2 linked regions of the Danio rerio genome follow. The protein of the gene in region 1 purifies or fractionates together with the protein of each later gene. This does not show direct contact. Links are inferred from orthologs where the notes say so. Each region holds a gene or a part of one and is shown on either strand. Other genes may lie near its edges.

Region 1 (10,552 bases):
ACAAGAACGGTGGTGGTGGGGTTCATAATATTCACAATGGTATTTTATTAGTTGTTGGTTTAACCATGGATGAGATAATGGCTTCTATGTTATTTTCTTTTCAATGACATTTCTTATCACATGTTCAAAAACAACAACCAATATTGCATGTCTATAATTTATATAATGGGTATAATTAAACAATTCTTTCACTATAACGTAAATTAGAAGTGTAATAGAAAAAAATATATATTTTTGCGCCATTTTGAATTTTACTCGAATACAAATACAAATACAAATACAAATACTTTTCCCCCCTCAACAAATACAAATACAAATACCGGCTGCTCCGCACATCCCTAGTATGTATATAGTGTTCCACGGAAGAAAGAAATTCAAACAGGTTAAAAAAATGACATGCAATCAATAATGACAGAATTTTTCATTTTGATTGAATATACAGGTTTAGATTATTCTACCCATTCACTGCACTGACCTTTTTCTGGCTTCGTGCATATATGCCGTCTAGATCCAGAATCATGTCAACATCACAGCCAAGTTTGCCGAAGCTGTTTACAGTAGAACCAAAAGGCCTAATGATGCATTCTGGGAAGTATGCTCCAGCTATGTCTCCAAGCAGAGAACAGACAAGGAAGCGCAGACTTATGTTTTCCTCTGTAAGCTGTAAAGTCTCTGTCAAACATCGAAGCTGCTCATCTACCTGTGGAAATAAATGAGAAGACGATTACTCTCAGCAATACTGAAACTTTTAACTATCACACGTAAAACAAACAAAGAAAAATGTAATAAATAAATCCTAAACACAATTATAAAGTTTGTCTGGCTTTGATCTGAGATGCTGCCATATCCCTGAGAGCTTTGATGGAATACATTTCAGTTTTGGGGTGAAAAGAAAAACAACTTTTATCAGGGAAGACTTACACTGTGCTTTTGCAAGAGCAGATTGGAAATGTCACCGATGTTCGGAGGGGATTGCTCCTTAAAATTTGGCGTGGGATAGTTGCTTGACTGAATGCCTGGCCATTTCAGCGACAGCAGCCGGGATTTAAAAGGCACTGCAGCTTCATGATCAACAGCTGGTATACCTGTGCTCTCCTTCAACGAGGCTATGCTCTCTTTATTGGAGAATTCAACTACCGCATACGCACCCTAAAAAACAAAGCAGATTAAAAACAACAGTTCACAACATCACTCAGCTGAATTGAGATAAAATGACTTGCAATAGCTCTGCCACACTTACAAAACTGTTGTAGAAGAAATGCTTGTTGACTGTCCCATGCTTGGAGAAGAAATCTAAAAACTTCTTTTCGCTGAATTTAGCAGGACAGCTGATTAAAACAGATCTTTCAGCTTGTTCTCGTCGCTCCTCTTGGATTGCTTGAAATGTTTTACTCTTCTTCACTTTTGAGATAAAAACGCAAAGACTTGGTGTTTGGTCATCCACATGTCAACTACATCGCTAGTTACACCATTAGATGACAACTTTGTAGTTATTTTGTAAATACTATGACAACGCGAATACATTTTGCAGCTGTCAAGTCTGTTTTAAAGTCAGTTAGTAAATGCCATGCTTACAGATATACAAGAATAAAAATGTTACCGAAGTCTGCGGTCTTGCTCCCGGTCGGGGTTTTGATTGCTGGTATAGTTGACGTACATCTTCTTTGCGTTTGAGGTTCCAATCCGAGACAAAATCTATCAAGACCTCCTAAACTTCTAAAATGTAACCTACACACGCCGAGGGAGGCCGCCATTGTTGATTTGAGACGGGCGCAAGCGCAGAAGTTGGCTCTACGGTGGCTGCGATTGGACATACCGTGTCGAACGCCAAAACTGAATTTCAGGTTTTTACAATGGCTATGACACTTTTTTCAATACATTTAACAAGTTTCCTAAACTTTTAACACGGTTAGCACAACATCCGTCTTAGTGGGCTATACAATTAACACATTTTGCTTTGACACAAAATGCATCCAGTTAACACAAATTTAAAATGCTTGAACTTATTTTACACACAAGCACAACCAAGAGCAAAACAATGTCATTTTACAGTTAAATTTACAAATGCTTTAACACAGTATGTCAGAACAGATAACACCATGTTCTAAACAAAACTTATATAGGCTAAAGCCAAAGTAAACAGTATATCACATACATATCACAGCAGATTCCCATATAGGAAGCACACTCATATGTTGAGGTTTTTCAAATCACATGATCATACTGTATGTTCTAAAAGTGGACTCATGAGGTTTTTGAAAGAAACAGTAAGCACATTACAGAACTTCGTCACCAATACGTCGAGGTAAGGTTATGCAATACAGTGATTACTTTACTATACACAGTGTGTTTTGCAGTAAACTACTCAATAAACCTGGCGTTCAATACATAATTATACAGTACAGTAAAGCATTACACTGTGTCTAATTACTTCTAGAGAGTCATGGAGTTGGAGGTCAATCAAGTTCCACATGCAATTATCTATGTTGACGAGGCTGGCTTTAACTTGGCGAGAAGGCATCGCCATAGGAGAAACATAATAGGCCAAAGGGCCACCGTTACCATACCGGGCCAGAGAAGAAGTCGGGAAAATGCAGAAGACTAGTCAGAATAGAAAGTTACTTTACTTTTTTTATTATTATTGTGGTGTTTTTTTCTGTTTGTACATCTTGCAGTAATGTCCTTTTGCAAATAAAGTCTGTACTGCATCAATTCTGTGTCTGTATTATTTTTTTACATACAGTAAACTGTAAATTTTTTAAAGCTACTCTGGGATGGTCGTTCATTTTTAGTTATGATTTTCTGCAGTATAACAAAATGCATGCATTTACTGTACTAAACTCAACAACACAAAAATGTAGAGAGGCTTCAAGTAAAGGGCAGACCTGACACATCAAACATTGCAGTTTCTGTAATGTCAGCTGATGATAGTGTTTTTATTATCAATGTGTTATGAATGACTAAATGTTTCTATCGGAAGAGAACGTGTTAGTGTTTTGAATCATTATTTTATTTTGAAACATGTTTACAGTGTTTTGTTAGACATGGTGTGGTGTGTTAGTTTATTATTGTATTTTAAAAAGTAGTTTAGAGGTTTAGTTTACAATGTGTGATTTTGAGCATGAAATTTACTGTTTTGCCAATTGTGTGTTTTAGGTGTGTTGCTGTGTTAAGAGTTTAGCAAACTTATTAAATGTATTGAAAAAAACTGTCATAGCCATCGTAAAAAAAAAAAAAAAAAAAAAACTGTAAAGATGTTAAAGAATGGATGACAAACCATTTTCTTCTCTTAAACTCAGACAAAACAGAATTATTACTTACTGGGCCTAAATCCTGTACACAGCAGATCTCACAACTCGACGTACAATTGGAGGGATACAAAGTTAGCATTAGCTCTACTATAAAAGATCTGGGTGTCATATTAGACAGCAATTTAACTTTTGAAAATCATATATCCCATGTCACAAAAACTGCTTTCTTTCATCTAAGATATCTCGCTAAGTTATGAAGTATGCTATCCATCTCAGATGCAGAAAAGCTAGACAATGCTTTTTATGACTTTAAGGCTGGATTACTGTAATGCTTTGTTTGCTGGCTGCCCATCATCCTCTATTAATAAACTTCAGCTAGTACAAAATGCAGCTGCCAGAGTTCTTACCAGGTATAGAAAATATGATCATATCACCCCAACTGTATCCTCCTTACACTGGCTACCTGTTAAGTTTCGTATTGAATTTAAAATATTGCTTCTTACCTATAAAGCTTTAAATAATCTAGCTCCTGTCTATCTAATCAACCTTCTGTCTCGCTACAATCCAACCCACTCTTTAAGATCTTTAAACTCAGGGCTTCTGGTAATACCTAGAATAGCAAAGTCGAGTAAAGGGGGTCGAGCCTTCTCATTTATGGCTCCTAAACTCTGGAATATCCTTCCTGATAAGGTACGAGGCTCAGGCACACTCTCGCAGTTCAAAACTAGATTCAAGACCTATCTGTTTAGTAAAGCACACACAATGCATCACTTAGCGGTATGGTGAAGTTTTTTCCTCGCCTCTGTTGCCACTAGCTTGCATGGTTCGGGATATGTAGGGCTGCGCATCAATGGATTTACTCTTCATTGTTTGAACTCTCAATAGTGATTATTAAACCACACTGGACTTAGCTAAACTAAACTGAATTTAAACTTTAAAATCTGAACTACACTGTTTCAATCTACTATAATCTTCTATGTGAAGCTGCTTTGACAAAATCTATATTGTAAAAGCGCTATACAAATAAAAATGAATTGAAAATTGATTTGAACTTAACTAATATACTAGGTAAAGCAGCCGCTTATGGCCCCAGCGAATTAGGGGCCCCAACCTATGTCAGGATGCATATTAATCATATCTCTTTTAATAAATTCTCTTTTATATGCTGTAAAATCTGCTTATAACCTTTAAGATTTTAACATTATTACTTTTTTTCCAAACCAGGGGACCTCATGAACAATGGAATATTCCTTTCTTACTGCACATGCAAATTTTAAAAACACAAATATGGCTAATTAACTGTACATACTTTGTTCTAATAAATTACTTGTTATTTATTTGCAAATTTATTGTATTTCATTTAACATTAAGAAGATAAAGAATGCAGTGCAATATAAATATTTTTAACATGCAGATTTTATTTACAAAAAAATAAATAAATAAATAAAACAATATCTATAAAGAGAAAAAAAAGCTTAGAGCTTCATTACTAGGGCCCCCCAAATCACTAAAGCCAGCTACTGCTTATTAACCAAATGTATTATTATGGCAGCTTTGGCATTCCATAGCCTACTACACTAAGGCGCCGTTTACTTTCGGGGAAAAACTGAACTGTCAATCTGCAGCCTGGATATCCCCCAATTTGAAAACAGCGTTTAGATATTTTGATACACTTAAGACAATCTTGTCACTATTCGTTATCTGGATTCCCTGACACTTTCAACAAGTTTAGAAGTTTTGAAATCTCTTAATGAGCGAAAACAACAAAAGGACACATTTTTTGCTGGGTCAGCGGACTTCACTCATTTCGTATATAGACCAAAACTAGTTAGCTTCTGTTTACTACAAGATGGTTTCAACAAGGCAACTTTTCCTTTGGCGCAAATTAATCATAAAGATGAAAGCGAATGACATCCTCCTTCTACGGAACATTCTGATAGGGGACTGTGGCAAAATCCAAGCAGCAGATACGTGATCTCGATGAGAAGACGAGAAAACACCTCTCAGAGAAAAGAGAAAACGAAACCGCAGTGACGTAAGCGCACAGCGGAGGCGCGCAGCTCGCTGATTCCTCTTATCAGCGAGCACACGTCTGAAAAAGCTTCAGAGGGAACTATGGACAATCACTGAGTATGCGCCCTGCTGTGAACACACTGACTGAAAGGTAGGCAAACTGCTGGTGTTTTATAGATATCATTTATTTTGTTTAGTTATTTTTATGCTTCATTAGCCTATACTATTTCGAACAACGTTCAGAGTAGGCTAAATACTGTGGATTATTTAATAGGGCTTTTGGCATATGCTTGTCAGCACCCTTTCTAGTTACTCTTTTTGAGCACCGGTTCTTTTCATCAGTAATGAACAGCCTTTATTATTAAAAATTCATTATTTAACATAAACCAAAAATGGATATTCAGCGATGGTTGCCAAATCTGCATGTTAAAAACTCATCCAACTGCTATTCAAAACTATCCCCAAAGTGTCCGAGTCACACTCTTGGGTGTTAGGATGTTCTTCATTGTGTAAGATTCAAATGCACAGCAATAGGGTAAAAGTACCCCAGTTTCTAAAGGAAACAAGAAGTAAATTTGGCAGCAGTGTATAGGGTTGTATTTCTGCAATGCTTTGGAAAGTTCTGTTTTTTGTGTGTATATCAGTCACCCGATCACACCATATCAATTTAGAAACAGCACATGTAATAGGTCAAAAATGATAAAACATAAAAAAGTGATTGCATTTATTATGATTCAGCCATTCTGATAAATCATCTTGGGCTAGTCATTTTTACTGCTAGCATGTCCCTCATAATTGGTCATTTTTGACCTCAAAAATGCTGTTATATTTTGTTCTTGTTTGTTTGTTCTTGAGGAGAAAAAAGAGAGTTAATACAATGAAAAAGTTCCATTTGTCATTCATTTTAAAGATGTTTTAAGCCACCTCTCACTTGCATGCAAAATAGAGCAGGCAAGCTGTTCAGGAAACATACCTGACCACACAGCAAACATACATATGGGTGCAAAAACAACATGGATGAATGCATTCATTTCAATGTGTTGATGTTTCTAATGATCAAACATTTTGTTTTATTATTCAATCAAGGATGGAGTATGACAATGGAAATTCTTGTATAGAACTGCTTCTTGCACACATAAAAATTGAGGACTTCATTCAAGAGGCAGAACATTTCTACAGTGTTGGTGAGGTGGTGGAATCTGGTATTTCGTTTGAGGAAGGTTTCTCGCAAGAAGAGATGGACGAGAATGAGGAAACGGCACATGACCTAATTAAACATGTACAAAAGACTGGAAAGGTCCGTTATGGGACAACATCTGACCTCCTGGACTTTGTGAATATGGTCTCAAACACACCATCCTCCTCTCTTTTAGATGTTGGTAGAGAAATGGGTGTTCTGGTGAACAAGGTAAGCTTCATTGGTTCTAAAACTTACATCAATATTTGAAGGGTTTCTGAGGCCTTTCCACCAGCTTCTTAAATTAAAGCATAAAGACTTAAATTTGTATGATCATGAGAGTAAATATTGCATGCATTGAAAAACATCAAATATATAGTCAATCCTTCACAGTCTTTATTTTCAATACAAATATCTATACATCATACTGAATTATACTGAGAAAAAAATGAGCTTATTCTATAAACAAGATCCCATTTTTATCAAACTTACTTCTAATCACTGGCACTGAATAATATGTAATTTTGCATTTCAAGTAAATCTTTATTTGACATTTGTACAGGAAAACAAGACAAAGATAGGAAGAGCATTATTTTTTTGTAGTGCGATTTGAAGAGTAAAAGTTATTTACATATTCTAGTTTTGTGACCTGCTTTGGGAGTTACATAATCCCGTGTAAAGGAGTGTTTATACTTGTTTAGCAAGATAGCCTTTGGTGTCATAAACACCCTGCTTTGTCCCTACAGACAGACATGATCATTAAAGAGGGGCATTATCGCATCGACTTGGACGTCCTTCTCTTTCCGTGGAAACTGACCTACAAGCCTCAGGGCCCTGGACACGTTCCCAAAGGCTCATTTGGGAAGGTCCATCTGGCTCAGGACACCAAAACTCGGAAGCGAATGGCATGCAAATTAGTAAGTAAGGGAATGCAAAGTATGTTTGTTTCCGGAATCTTTACAGGGTTTTACTTTTTTTTTGCTTTGGCAAAGGTAGATGTTTTCACTCAACTAGGAGGTTTTTATGGACATAGCTTTCCTACTGGGAATCCGCATTCTATTATCAGTAAGGTTCAAAATATTTTTTTTAAATACTTTGAAAGTACTCTAATAAGAATTAAGCATAGAGTTCATTCATCATCATCAGCAGTTGTCACATGAAGATAAATCAAGGAAAAGACACATGATACTGAATGATGTTGTGATGAACTTATGATTCAGCATGTGATGACACATGGCTTTATTAACTACAGCCTAGTGAAAAATCGTTCTGAAAAGCGAAACAGGTTTTACAGAAACTGTAGCAGCAGTGAAAAAGTGTTTAAAAATGAGGAACAGCACTTTTGGGAAACAACACAATTTCCCTAAAATGTTCAAAGGGTCAGTATGCAGCACGCAGTGTTTTAACAGAAACTGAGAATGGCACTAACGCACACAGGAAGTGGACAGAAACGCCCCCTGTGGAAACATGCAGCCTACAAAGGCGTCTTAAATTAGTGGCAGAGTGCAGATGAAAATTTGATCTTGTGGTCAAGTTTAACAGTTGCAGTCCTCTTTTAGACGTGTGAATTAAACAGCTTGCCATGTAAGAACTGGATGGATAAACATTATTTAGTCTACAAGGAATTGTCTGCTTTGGTGGAACATGTGATTTGGTGGAACATATGACAGACAGGTTGTCCCTCTCTTGTGCCAAGAAGCATGTGATGAAAGGAAATATTTTATTGCAAAAAGGAAGTTGTTTTGATGAAATGATATGAGGGCACATACATTTAAACAAATAAATCCTTTATAATACCTGCAATCTTTCAGAATAGTCAAAATATGCAGAATAAGAATTTTACCTTTCAATATTTTAGGTGACTTTAGCAAAGTATTTTTCAAACTTTGAACATTAACCTTGTGTTAATGACAAAAATTGTGATTTTGTGAAATTGATGTCATCATGCACTGATGCATTATGTCAAGGGTGTCCAAACACGGTCCTGGAGAGCTGGTGTCCTGCAGATTTTAGCTCCAACTTGCCTCAACACACCTGCACGAATGTTTCTAGAAAGCCTAATAAGAGCTTGATTAGCTAGCCTAGGTGTGTCTGATTGGGGTTGGAAGTTAACTTTGCACAACACCAGCCCTTTAGGACCGAGTTTGGGCATCTCTGTTTTATGTGTTCAGTCCATAGGAATGCACAAGGACTTGATTGTCAAAGTAAAAAGGTGGGCAACGAGATTGTATTTGTCCATGCCTGCAGTATTTATAAAAACACTTTGACAACTAGTGGTCTGGCATGCATATTACATTATATTTATTCATTAGTAGGATTATTTTGTTTCTTGTGGAATTGTTATGGTTTGACACATTTTTTATGGCAAAGCAAAAACATTTTTTTATTACATCAATATCATGTAAATGTTCCCTTGATGTAACTTTAAAAGGGTTAAATAATTAGTTGTTGTAATAATTAGGAGTATAAATAAGAAATATCACGCAAGCAAAAATGCTGCTCAGATTCATTCAAAAGTATTGATTCATTCCGGAAAGCCACTATGAATCCGTTTCTCATAAATGCATAAATAATAAATTAACTTCAGGTCTATTTAGGACAAAAAAAAAGACATTCATTCAACAAATTCTTTACACATAATTTGAAATCACTTGGAAATTACAATTACAGAAAATGTGCACTATCCATTAACAGATGTTGGTAGGTTTTGGATCCACCAGTAATCATTTGGTCAAGCAGGCATGAGCACAGTAAAAAAACAGCCAAAACAGACATTTATATAATTATCCTGATGATATATCAGTTCTATTAATCTTTACATAGCGAGTCTGCAATTTGCAGTTTTATTATGTTTTGCTTGTATATTTGTTTTTGACTGCAAGACTATAGGGAAATGTGGCAAAACCTCACAATATGACAATAACTATATGCATTAACTATAATTAATTAAAGCTTGATTGGTGTGAAAGTGCAATCATTGTACTTGCTTAATTTTAGGAATTGTGTGAATCATACATAGGCTGGAAATATACAGCAGTTTTGGTTTACTTTCATATATGAATGCTTAAATAGCATGTATTTTTATGTAGAAAAAAATTATAAGCTTGCTCATTTTTTAGTGTACTTTCATAAAATATGAATCTTAGAAATTAAGTGTACTTTCTCTCCAGATTCCTGTGGAGCATTTCAAGCCTGCAGATGTTGAAATCCAAGCCCGGTTCCGGCACGAGAACATAGCAGAGCTATATGGGGCCTTGCTGTGGGAGCAGACGGTGCATTTGTTCATGGAAGCTGGCGAAGGAGGCTCGGTGTTAGAGAAGCTGGAGAGCTGTGGTCCAATGAGAGAGTTCGAGATCATTTGGGTCTCTCAGCAGGTTCTGCGAGGCTTGGAGTACTTGCACTCTCACAACATTATCCACCACGACATCAAACGTAAGAGCTCTGGCTTGCATCATTAAGGGCTTTTTTCTGAAATATCACTGCAGTTTCCTACCAAGTACATTGTTTATTACTCTCACACCACAGCTGCTCTGAAGTGGAATGCTTCAAAACAAATTTCAAAGCGGGGTCAAAGCAGTTCAGTACTTTTTTTCTTGCAACCACCGGTACTTGTTATTTCCCCTTTGAATGCAACAAAAGGTGCACTGTATGTGAATCTGATGTTGGCTGTGGTCAAGGAAGGTATTCTGCTTATTTGACAGAACTAAAAAGTAACTGACAAGAGAATTGACCACAGGCTACAGAAGTAGTTTTAGTTCATGACCTTCAAAGAGGAGGAACACAACATAATTTAATGCAGCAGGGGTGTAGTTGACAACATTCTGCTAGGATTTAGTCATACACAGGGGCCAATCGGTGTACAGCTTATGACTTCTGGCATCTGGAATTTCCAGTCAGGAGAGCAAGTGATTACTCAAATCAAATGTATTACTTTCAGGGGCTTATTCAACAGGCCATTTCTATTTCAACTTCAACAACAGTTAGACTGAGAGAGTAAAATGACAAGAGAGAGAATTTCAGTGAAAATGACTGACCAATCAGAGTATGCTCTAGGCTGTAGCCTGCTTTTGTGGTTTTGAGGACTGGCTTCTTGACATTTGGGTTGGAGAGG
Region 2 (10,554 bases), on another chromosome or scaffold:
ACACACAGATCTGCAATTTGGCCTTTAGCATAGTTTGATTCGGAACTCTAAACGTACCATGCTGTAAACCATGACACCAAAGAACTGGCAAAACCCTTATGTGACAACCGCAGATGCCCAAGACTGAATAACTTTTCATAACCAAACCATCTGCATTCAACGACAGCGAAGTGAGTAAGCCTTTAGATTGGACACAACCAACTCATATCTTGAGTCCTAGGCCGCAAACGACCTCGAAAAGCCAAAAACTCACTAGAAAAAGCTCTTCCTACGACTCCATCCCATAAAACGTGTCCCTGTCTTGTCGCATCTCCCATTAAGTCCCATGTGAGCTTGTAGTGATTGTGTCCTCAGTGCTTTCTGTGTAAAGTCAGTGAGGTGAGAGACTCACAGCTTGGCACACTCGTCCCAGTGTTTAAGGTATTCGGTCGTGTGCTCGTCGTCGAACCTGATGAAACACCGAGGGCATTGCAGCTCGGCGGCTCCTTGTGGCGCAGTGTTACTGATAGTCCTCTTTGAGCTTGTTTCTGGGGGACTGTTTCTTAGTGGTTCTGCCGTTTCCGTTTGTCGGTGGCTAGCTTTTTTTAGGGCCATGATTTTTTTATGGCGTGAGGTTGAGGCTTCTTGGACATTCTGTGTGAGAGAGTGACTGTTAGAAGGATGTTTAATTGAACATTTTGAGTTAAGTTTTGTAAACAGGACAGAGAACGCAGTGTGCGTGTGTGAAAGCATATGAAATGTCAAGTACAATGCTGGTGTTTACTTCATTGTGTTATCTTTTAAAAGTCAAATAATAGGTTCTATTAACATTGTGTACACTGCCAGTCAAAGGATTTAGAGCAGAATGACTTGGAAGGATGTTTAATTCAATATTCTGAGTTAAGTTTTGTAAAACGGTAAGAGAACGCAGCTTGCGTGCGTGTGTGTGAAAGCATATGAAATGTCAAGTAAAATTCTGGTGTTGACTTCAGTGTTTTACCATTTTCAAAAGGTCAAATAATGGGTTTTATCAACAAACTGTACACTACCAGTCAAAAGTTTTAAGACGGAATGATTTTAAATGTTTTTTTTTGTTTGTTTTTTTAAAGTCTTTTCTGCTCACAAAGCCTGCATTTATTTGATCCAAAATGCAGCAAAACTATAAAACTGTGAATTATTTTTACTATTTAAAAAAGCAGTTTTCTCTTTAAATATATTGTACACTTTCTTTTTTTTTTACTGATTTCAAAGCTGAATTTTTAGCATGTTAAAAACTGCTGAGCAGAATATTTTAATCTTGTCTTTAGAAGCATTTATCTGAAATAGAAATCTACCGTGACATTATAAATGCCTTTATCATTATTTTTAATAATCATAACTATTAAATACTTTTAATATCTGAGCTCATTCCAATCAAATGTTTTCGTTCTATCCTTTTTGACAAACAACAGTCCATTTCTCAGTGTATGTGTTTTTAACATATTGTAATGTGGTATAGCTGAACAACTAAACTGTAATTTTTATATTATCTTAACTTTCTATTTATTATTATTACTATTATTGTTGTTGTTATTATTATTTTTTATTCATAAGTCGTGTTGTGGACCTAAGATTTTAATCTCAATGGGTTTTTATCCGGTTAAATAAAGAAACATACTTTTAAATTTTAATATAAAGTATCCTTGCTAAGTAAAGGTAACAAATAAAAAAATACTGACTGTCACTGCTTTTAAGTAGTATAATGTGTATGATGTCAAAAGCTTTTGAATTTAGGTAAAATGATTGATTTTGTTTGACGTTCTCTTCATCAATTAATTATGAATATCATCATTAAACTGTGATTAAATATTAAAATTATTAATGAAAGTCATGTTTTGACTGATTTTGCTGTACTTTTGAACAAATAAATGCAGGTTTGGTGAGCAGAAGTGTGTTCTTTTAAAAAAATAAGAAGATAATTTAAATTCTTACTAAATTCACTAATTGAAAACTTGTCAAATGGGCGAAACCTAGTGGTTTAAGGGATAGCAGCAAAGATTCAGACAATATGTTAAAATGACAAATTAAATAGTTTTAATTTGATTGATTTATTTTTATTTTTTTAATAAAATTATTTGGGATTACGCTGACATTTTATTGTCTTTGGTAAACACTTAATTGATCATTATTGTTTGTGTAAAATGGCATGCAGGGTTTTTCCTGCAAAGAGAATTGTGAGGTGGCCACCTCCATAATTTTTTGCACCACCTCCAGCTTTTGACCAATCAGGCATGCAGTCACGGCAACCAACAGACCCCAAGTGATGCTCAAGCATTGGTCATTTATTTAGTTGCATATAATATCTGCCTTTTTAAATATGAACATGTTTAACTTGAGTGGGTTACTAAAAAGAATGCAAAATGTGCTTGTTTCAAGTAGCAAACATTTCATCTTCCATCTTCGGCTTATTTTGTGCCAGAAAAAACCCTGTCGTGTTTGTTCAAATACAACTTATAAATGCTTATGTCCATTTATTTATTTTGTAACGCTAAATCAGAATGCTACAAATGATTTTATTGGGACTTTAAATGATACAATGCATATTTTAAAATTATTTTTAAATACCTTGATGAATAATTAATAATTAGACTTGCCTGTGAACGTATTTGCAGCTGAAGTCGCCCAACTTCATCTTGAAGGTCCATGATTTTACCCTGAGCCCTCTCTCGGTCTGCCCTTTCCGATTTAAAGTCTTCAACATAGGCCAGAACCTGTGAGTGTACAAGTAAGCCATTTGTGTTATGGGCAGCAAGCCAAACAACAAAACTACTTCTCACCTTTGTTATGACAAAAATACAACGACTTCCTATTTAATAGGATTGTACACACTGAACGGATACAGACCTGCTGCTCGAGCATCTGTATCTGCTCTTGGTCTCTTCTCGCATTGTCATCCCTCTCTCTACTGAATCTCTCACACTCCATCATCTTGTCCTGCAGGAGGCCGTTGAGTCTCACAATTTCCTGCTGGAACAAAGCCACGTGTCCCGCAGTCGGGGCTTGGGTTAGAGTCGGATCTGCGGAAGCCAGTCCATTTGACTCTTTCAACTTCTGACACAAACCCCTCACGTACTCTTCTCTACTCGAGTCATACTTCTGCCATTTTGAGTTTAAACTTTCCACCTGAAATGGAACAAAACAAGTTGTGATGTGAAAAAATTACATGACATTTTCCAAGAATTTTTTTACACTGTTGATTCTTTCCGTAACAGTTACAGTATGACATTTTCAGCATATGACACAGGTAAAACAAATGTCAGAGGGTGATGATCAAACAACAGTTCCATCATGTGATCCTTACATATGCCACTCTCTTCTTGAGCTGGTCGTTCTCCTCTTCTAACTTGCTAATGATGACATTTAGCTGGGGAACTTCGGGGGAATCTGATGTCTGATAAAATATAAGGTCAAATATAATCATTAGGCAGCTGTTTTAAAGGTGCCTTAAATGTTGCAGACTGACAGTTTCCACAACGCACCTCATGAACTTGAGTTCTCTGATCCGTCATGGCTGTTTTGTTTTTCTCGTTTTCCAGCCGTCCCAAAAGCTCCTGACACACCTGCACAGTGGCCCCCAACTGGGCCCTTAACTGATCGGCTTCTTCAGCAAGAGAGTTGCAAAGTACAGTCCTGGTGGCCTGTGTCCGATCTCTTTCGGCCAATGTGGTGCGCAGTTGCTGGATCTCCCTCTCTTTCTCCTGCTCTGGTCTTTCCCTGATGGTCAGCAACTCTTGATCCCTCTCCTTCAACTTTTCCTGCAATCTCTGGATCTCCTTAAACAAGCAGTCGGGAGATTCACAAATGAGAAGGTGAACACGAAATGCACTTGTTTCATCAAAACTAAAGCATATTCTGTATTCATGAACAAAGTTGTACATAAAAAGCCGGACTAACAGTACAAACAAGCAAGAAAAACAAAGCTTAAACTTAAGTTTTCTGGTCAGTTTTTCAAAGGCACTTAATGTTAGCTGACTTGAAGACCACCATAAACCAGCTAAGACCAGCAACACATTGTAAGCTGGTTTACATGTTTTGTTTTTGTGATATAACATTAATTTCATTACAATTTCTTGAGTTAGGAATTGGAGTATTTTATAGAGAGGATACTTTACAGTTCTTTTACAGTCATTGGAAAAGTATACTGACAAGAAAAACAACAAATTTACTCTAATTAGTAGAGAAAATGTTATTAATTATTTCATATTATTAATTCAGAATTGTGTTTAACTTACTTTGTCTCTGGTTTCCAATTTCTGGGCAGTGTCTTTCTCTAAATCCTTCAGTTTTTGCTTTAATTTGCAAATTTCCTTACACAAACTTTCGATGAGTGACTTCGATGGCCCTACAATATAAGGTTCCTCTCCCTCAATGACCACGGTTTTCTCATACTTCCCCAGTCTTGCCCTCAAATCGGCAATAATCCCGTCTTTGGAGGTCACCAACTGATTTAAACGAGCAATTTCTTGCTGTGTTTCGTGGTAAATTGTGTTGAGAGTAGAGCAGCTGCGCAACTTCGCCCTCAGCGCCTCGTTCTCCCTCTTCATCTCATCCATGCTGAGCAATCCGTTAAAACGAGCACATATAGTACAAATTTCCCATATATTGTACAGGTCTGAGTGTCATAGGGCTCACAGGCGTCTGCTGTAACTTATGTTAGACCAAAATGTTTCAGAGCAGTTTCAGTCTGCGAGAGCCTCACTCAATTTCGAAATTATGAACAGGGGATTTCCTCACGGGGACTTCCCCCCATCTCAAACTGGGTATATTTTTTGTACTGCACATAAAACGTCGAGAATAGTTGGGGTTACAGGCGCTGTTTTGCCTTCAAACGAGTTAACTGTCGAGTCGTGTGCGGTTTAATAGTGATTTTACACGTTTAAGAGACAGTCGACTCGCTCCTTCGTGTCGGATTAAGTTTACAGTTCAGTTTGACGCCGCCTGGTGCGCGTGGACGAGGATTGCGCGCGACCAGCATGCTACTTTATACTGTCAGTGACGCGCGTGGTGGTTAAACGTTTGCTTTTAGCTTCCTTGGTTATAACGATTAAGTTTGTCACGTCGCTCCCGAACACGGTACAACGAGCAGTTTAACACGCACAGTATTCTCAAGTAGCATCCGTGAAGGGAGTAGTCAGTTGAACTTGGACAGGTGACAAATCTTTACATATGGAAACGTAGGTAAAGTTCAAAATCGAAAGCAGGAGTCTATTCACACCATAGCTTATTATAAAAATATCCCACACTTTAAAGTATAACGTAGTCCAATATCAAAAATAAGATTAACCCTTTTACAAAACGGAATTCTTTAGCTAAAGAAAGCTGTAACATGTTGTTTCCTATTTAGCTCCATTGTTTTGTTTCCATTGGGAACCGAAACTGTTTACCTTTCTGTTAGTCTGTTTACCAGAGGCTTTCAGACACCACCACCATAGGACCCCCTCCTAAAATGTTAAAGATAATTCTTGTTCAAGACTAATAAATAATAAATAAATACATTAAATATATATCATTTCTACTCATCATTTTTGCCTGTGTAATTATTTAAATCAAATTAACTTTTAATAAAAAATATTTTGTATTTTTAATAAAAATATTTCTAAAAATGTTTAGTATAATCTAATCTAATATAATCTAAAAATATTTAGATTAATGTGAATCTTACCAAATAGTATTTTTAATTATTATTTTAAAAATGTTTTGAATATTTGGATGAAAATAACATAACACTGCCTAAAACTCCCCTTTCTTAAAAGATTCCATCTCATACCATTCCTCTTTTCATAATGGATAATGCCTGCCATTATCTTGGATCACATCTTGTCAATTGTCTAGACAATGAAAGCCAACGGTGCTTAGTTTGTGATCTGAAGATTGAACCATAAAACAGTCATTTTAATTACACAGTAATTAACAAACTTACAATGTCTAAACCCTCATTCTTAGTGCGAAGAATCTTTATCCCTCTGCCAAAAGCAGCACACATGAAACGGCAGAAAGTCCCGTTGAGCATGTAATGTTTGTGTGAGTTCATGATGTTCTGCCTAGGGAAAGTCCAAAACTGTTCTTTAAAGTTTGCCACCATCTTGTGGTATCAAAACAGCATTGACACGCATTTGACAGACGTGATATATTACTCATAAATATAAGTCAATCACGCACATGTATATAAATATAATTGTCACAATAAGAACACAGCTGAAGGTGCTTTTTCACACAACAGCCATTTCAGCTGTGTATACACATTTTTTATTGTTTAGGCATGCTTCTGCAGAGGTATGAAGTAAATCTGTGAAATTATAGGCAATGAAGTTGGTAATTACTCTTGGATCACATTAGGGCAACCCTTTCATTTGAGGATGGAATGTAGAAGTGCTTGCGTTTGCAACTTCTTGGCATTTAAGAACGGCTGGGAAAAACAAAAGGCAACCAATGGCTTATTTTTAATGACTTTATTTGAAAATGGTTAATACATATAAATAAATGACTACAAAATATATAAATAATAATAAAAAATACATCAAACAACTTCAGCTCCAAAGATATTCAATAATAAAAAAAATAATATAATAATATATATATATATATATATATATATATATATATATATATATATATATATATACACACACACACATACACACACACACACACAGTTGAAGTCAGAATTATTAGCCCCCCTGAATTATTAGCCCCGTTTTTTTGTTAACGGAAATTATTTTTTTCCACACATTTCTAAACATAACAGTTTAATTACTAATTTTTAATAACTGATTTTTTTAAATCTTTGCCATGATGACAGTACATAATTTTTAACTAGATATTTTTCAAGACACTTCTTTACAGCTTAAAGTGACATTTAAAGGCTTAATTAGATTAGGTTAATTAGGCAGGTTAGGGTAATTAGGCAAGTTATTGTATAATGATGGTTTGTTCTGTTGACTATTGGGAAAAAATAGCTTAAAGGGGCTAAACATTTTGACCTAAAATGGTTTTTAAAAATTAAAAACTGCTTTTATTCTAGCCGAAATAAAACAAAAAATTCAGGGTGGGGGGCTAATAATTCTAACTTCAACTATATATATATATATATATATATATATATATATATATATATATATATATATATATATATATATATATATATATATATATATATATATATATATATTAATTAATACTAAGTTGATGTAAATCAGTGGTTCCCAGTTCTTTTAGACAATTTTTAAGTTCTAAATACAGAAGTTTTAAAAACAGAATTGATAATTTTGTGCAATGCAAGAAAAGCTTATTTATTTTTTATAATTTGTTTGCGTAATTTAGATGATGAGTTTTTATGTAAAGTATACTAATAATTTGCTTCCTTTTCTTTAAAAATGTATTTATTTATTTTATTATACACAATTTAAATTTGCAATTAATTTAATATTATATTTAATATATTTTTTCTTCTATATAATTTAAAAGTTACAATAAAAAAATGTATTATATTTCTATGCCAAAACCATTGCACTTAAAATCCTAAGACTGTTTGGTAATTAAAAGTTTAAAGATTGAGAACATAATTAAAATTATCATTTAAAAGTAAAAAAAAAAAAACATTCTGTGAACCACTGATTTAGACCAAGTTACCTTAAAATAATTAATAATGCTTATTCACCATTTTATATTAATATTATAGAAATTTCCTTACATACCCTCCTATAAACATTTTCCTTAAGAGAACATTCCCATTTTACTACGCTCCTGGGATTTCCAACTTGCAGCTATCAGAGCATCGAGTCATAATAAATGATGTCTTAAACTGCCGCTAGGGCTCAGCGACATCAGGCATTAAGAAGCCATTGAAAGGGTCGGTTGCTCCATCATCACCGATATCCTGAGGAAGGTTTTCCTCGCTCTCACAATCTTGACTGTCATCGCCAGGCACACACTCAGTGGAGCGACTTTCACTATCCGTGCCGCTGTCTTTAGACTCGGTGCTTTCACTGCTGCTACTGCTGCTGCTGCTGTTACTGTTGCTGTATTCAGTAGCAACAGCACCATTGTGTTCAGCGCTTTCACTGGTGTCATCACTGTTATCCACTTGCATCTTGTTCACGACAACCTTTTCCTGGCTTTCGCTTGATTCGCTGCTGTCACTTATTTGGGATGCGTCACTAGTGGACTGGATGTCATTTTCATGTGGCTGGCCGGTTGGTTGCACAATGTTGTTGTTTGGTTGGACCCATTTGAGGGTGTAGATCCAGCCCTGTAAATGAATTATGAAGGCCATTATTCTTGTGTAAAGGCGTATGTTCTATATTATGGGTGAGATGTGATGTTTCTTACCCTACGGATGTTCTCTTTACTGCTTTGAGTGTTGTCGGCTGTCAGTGCGGTCTCGCTTTTTCCAATCTGGATAAACACAAATGATAGAAGTTAGTTTAAATATAGGGGAATTAGTTTTTGTGCTATGACTTTTTTTTTTTTTTTTTTGTGGCTCTGGATTTAAAATTGGGATTTAGTCAGAAGTTGAAGTTAGAATTATTAGCCCTCCTGAATTATTAGCCCACTGTATATATATTTTTAATCCAATTTCATTTTACGGAAATATTTATTTCAACACATTTCTAATAACTGATTTCTTTTATCTTAGCCATGATGACTGTACATAATATTTTGCCAAATATTTTTCAAGATATTTGCTTAAAGTGCAATTTAAAGGCTTAACTATGGTAATTAGGCGAGTCATTTTATGATCATGCTTTGTTAGACAAACGAAAATATATATAGCATAAGGGGGCTACTAATATTGACCGTAAAATCGTTTTAAAAAATGTAAAACTGCTTTTTATTCTAGCCTAAATAAGACTTTCTCTAGAAGATAAAAATATTGTAGAAAATACTGTGAAAATAATATCCTTGCTCTGTTAAACATGAGTTGAAATTCTTTGTTTGTATTTTAAAAATGCACAGTAGGGCTTATAATTTTGACTTCAACTATATCATATGGAAGCTGAAAAAATAAGATGTTCATTGATGTAATGACAACATTTGATAACTATTTGAAAATCTGGAATGAAGATTTAAAAATATAAAAAATATCACTTTTAAAGTCTTAGCAATGGGCATTGCTTATTAAAAAATTGAGCTTTGATATATTTACAGTAAGAAATTAACAAAAAAAGTCTTGATCGATCATTACTTAATACTCAAAATAAATAGTCTTCCAGGGTCACATATTATAATAGAGCTTTTTTTCGTACCAGACTTTCCACAGAATGGCTTTCGCTCTCTTTAGATATCTAGAAAACAAACAAACAATGAATAAATACAAATTTGTTAGTTAAATAGTTGTATTTGTATTTTGTACATTTGATTTTAAGATATGAACAGAAATTTTGAGTATACCGGTTCATCTGATTCAGATTCAAGTGATTCAGAGCTCTGTTGGGGAAACAGAAAAAAAAAGTGAATTGAGCATATATCTTTAACAGAAATGTATGCCTAAATATTGTAATCAAATATTTTGACATAGGTCTTTGCACTTACATTGCTGTCGGAAACATTTTCCTCTGACTTCTGTAAAGAAATAAATAAATAAAATGGTAAATATATTTATTTAAAGTATAAATATACTTTTTATGTAAATAAATTAATATTTATATCTAAAATGATTGCTTTTCCATGTTACTTTTGCTAACAATCTTCACAAAAAATAATAAAAATTACAAAAATAAAAATAAATTACATTTATTTCATTTATTACATGTATTACATAACATTTCTGGAATAGAAAAAACTACAATTTATTTCCCTTGACATTATTAATAGAATAAAAAAGAAAAAAAAGAAAAAAAAGTTTTATAAACTTATTTTCAATAATATTTTTTTTTCAGTATATATGCATTTGCATGTATAGTTAAACATATTCATGGAATGCCAAATAAAAAGGATTCTTATTGAAATATGATTGAAAAAAAAAAAAAATCCAGTTCAGTTCGTCATTCTAGTTCAAGTACAAATTCATTTTATTTGACCAAAAGCATACCTCTTCCGAAGGCTCTGAGGTATTACTCTGGTCTGAGGATTCAGATATTGAGGAGCTTTCCGACTGTTGAATATAAGAGCAGCAATATATAAATATTATAGCAACAGCAATACCTAAAACACCTTTTAAACAAAACATTTTTATTTATCCTGAGCGCCACTTACAGAGTTAGATGCATGTTGAATCATCTCCATAGCCACTTTATGCAAGATCTGCAGAAAATATTTAAAGAAAGTGCTGAAAAAGAACTGAAAGAGCTGCTTTTTAACGGTTATTCAATATAGTACTTACTGGATTAGCACAGGCTGCTCCCAACAGACAAAGAATCAATAGGGCAGACTTCATTCTGAATATAAAGAATAAAGTTTATATTACTGTTCAGTAGCTTTATTATTACTTTTAAAGATTTTATAAAATATAAAAGATTAAAAAAAAAAGTTTGAAAACCTTACCTTGCTCTTCTTTTAATCCTAAAGTGCAAAGTCCAGAAGCGCAGTGGCGATCGA

Evidence for each region.
Region 2: the proteins of map3k8 (region 1) and tnip2 purify together in Homo sapiens (affinity purification with mass spectrometry; 3 studies listed by BioGRID and IntAct, with this or other methods). This does not show direct contact. The link is inferred for Danio rerio from reciprocal best matches to the Homo sapiens genes MAP3K8 and TNIP2.

The regions. Positions count from the first base shown.
Region 1 is NC_133187.1:25,360,472-25,371,023, reverse strand, and holds the start of map3k8 (mitogen-activated protein kinase kinase kinase 8), read left to right. Parts: upstream 1-5,356; 5' UTR 5,357-5,383; coding exon 5,384-5,415; intron 5,416-6,350; coding exon 6,351-6,672; intron 6,673-7,187; coding exon 7,188-7,358; intron 7,359-9,611; coding exon 9,612-9,873; intron 9,874-10,552. Other genes in the region: mtpap (poly(A) RNA polymerase, mitochondrial), read right to left, coding at 476-700, 922-1,149, 1,241-1,401, 1,601-1,754.
Region 2 is NC_133176.1:40,469,329-40,479,882, forward strand, and holds the start of tnip2 (TNFAIP3-interacting protein 2), read right to left. Parts: upstream 4,972-10,554; 5' UTR 4,572-4,971; coding exon 4,251-4,571; intron 3,792-4,250; coding exon 3,498-3,791; intron 3,410-3,497; coding exon 3,320-3,409; intron 3,142-3,319; coding exon 2,863-3,141; intron 2,730-2,862; coding exon 2,613-2,729; intron 634-2,612; coding exon 388-633; 3' UTR 1-387. UniProt on the Homo sapiens protein: Inhibits NF-kappa-B activation by blocking the interaction of RIPK1 with its downstream effector NEMO/IKBKG.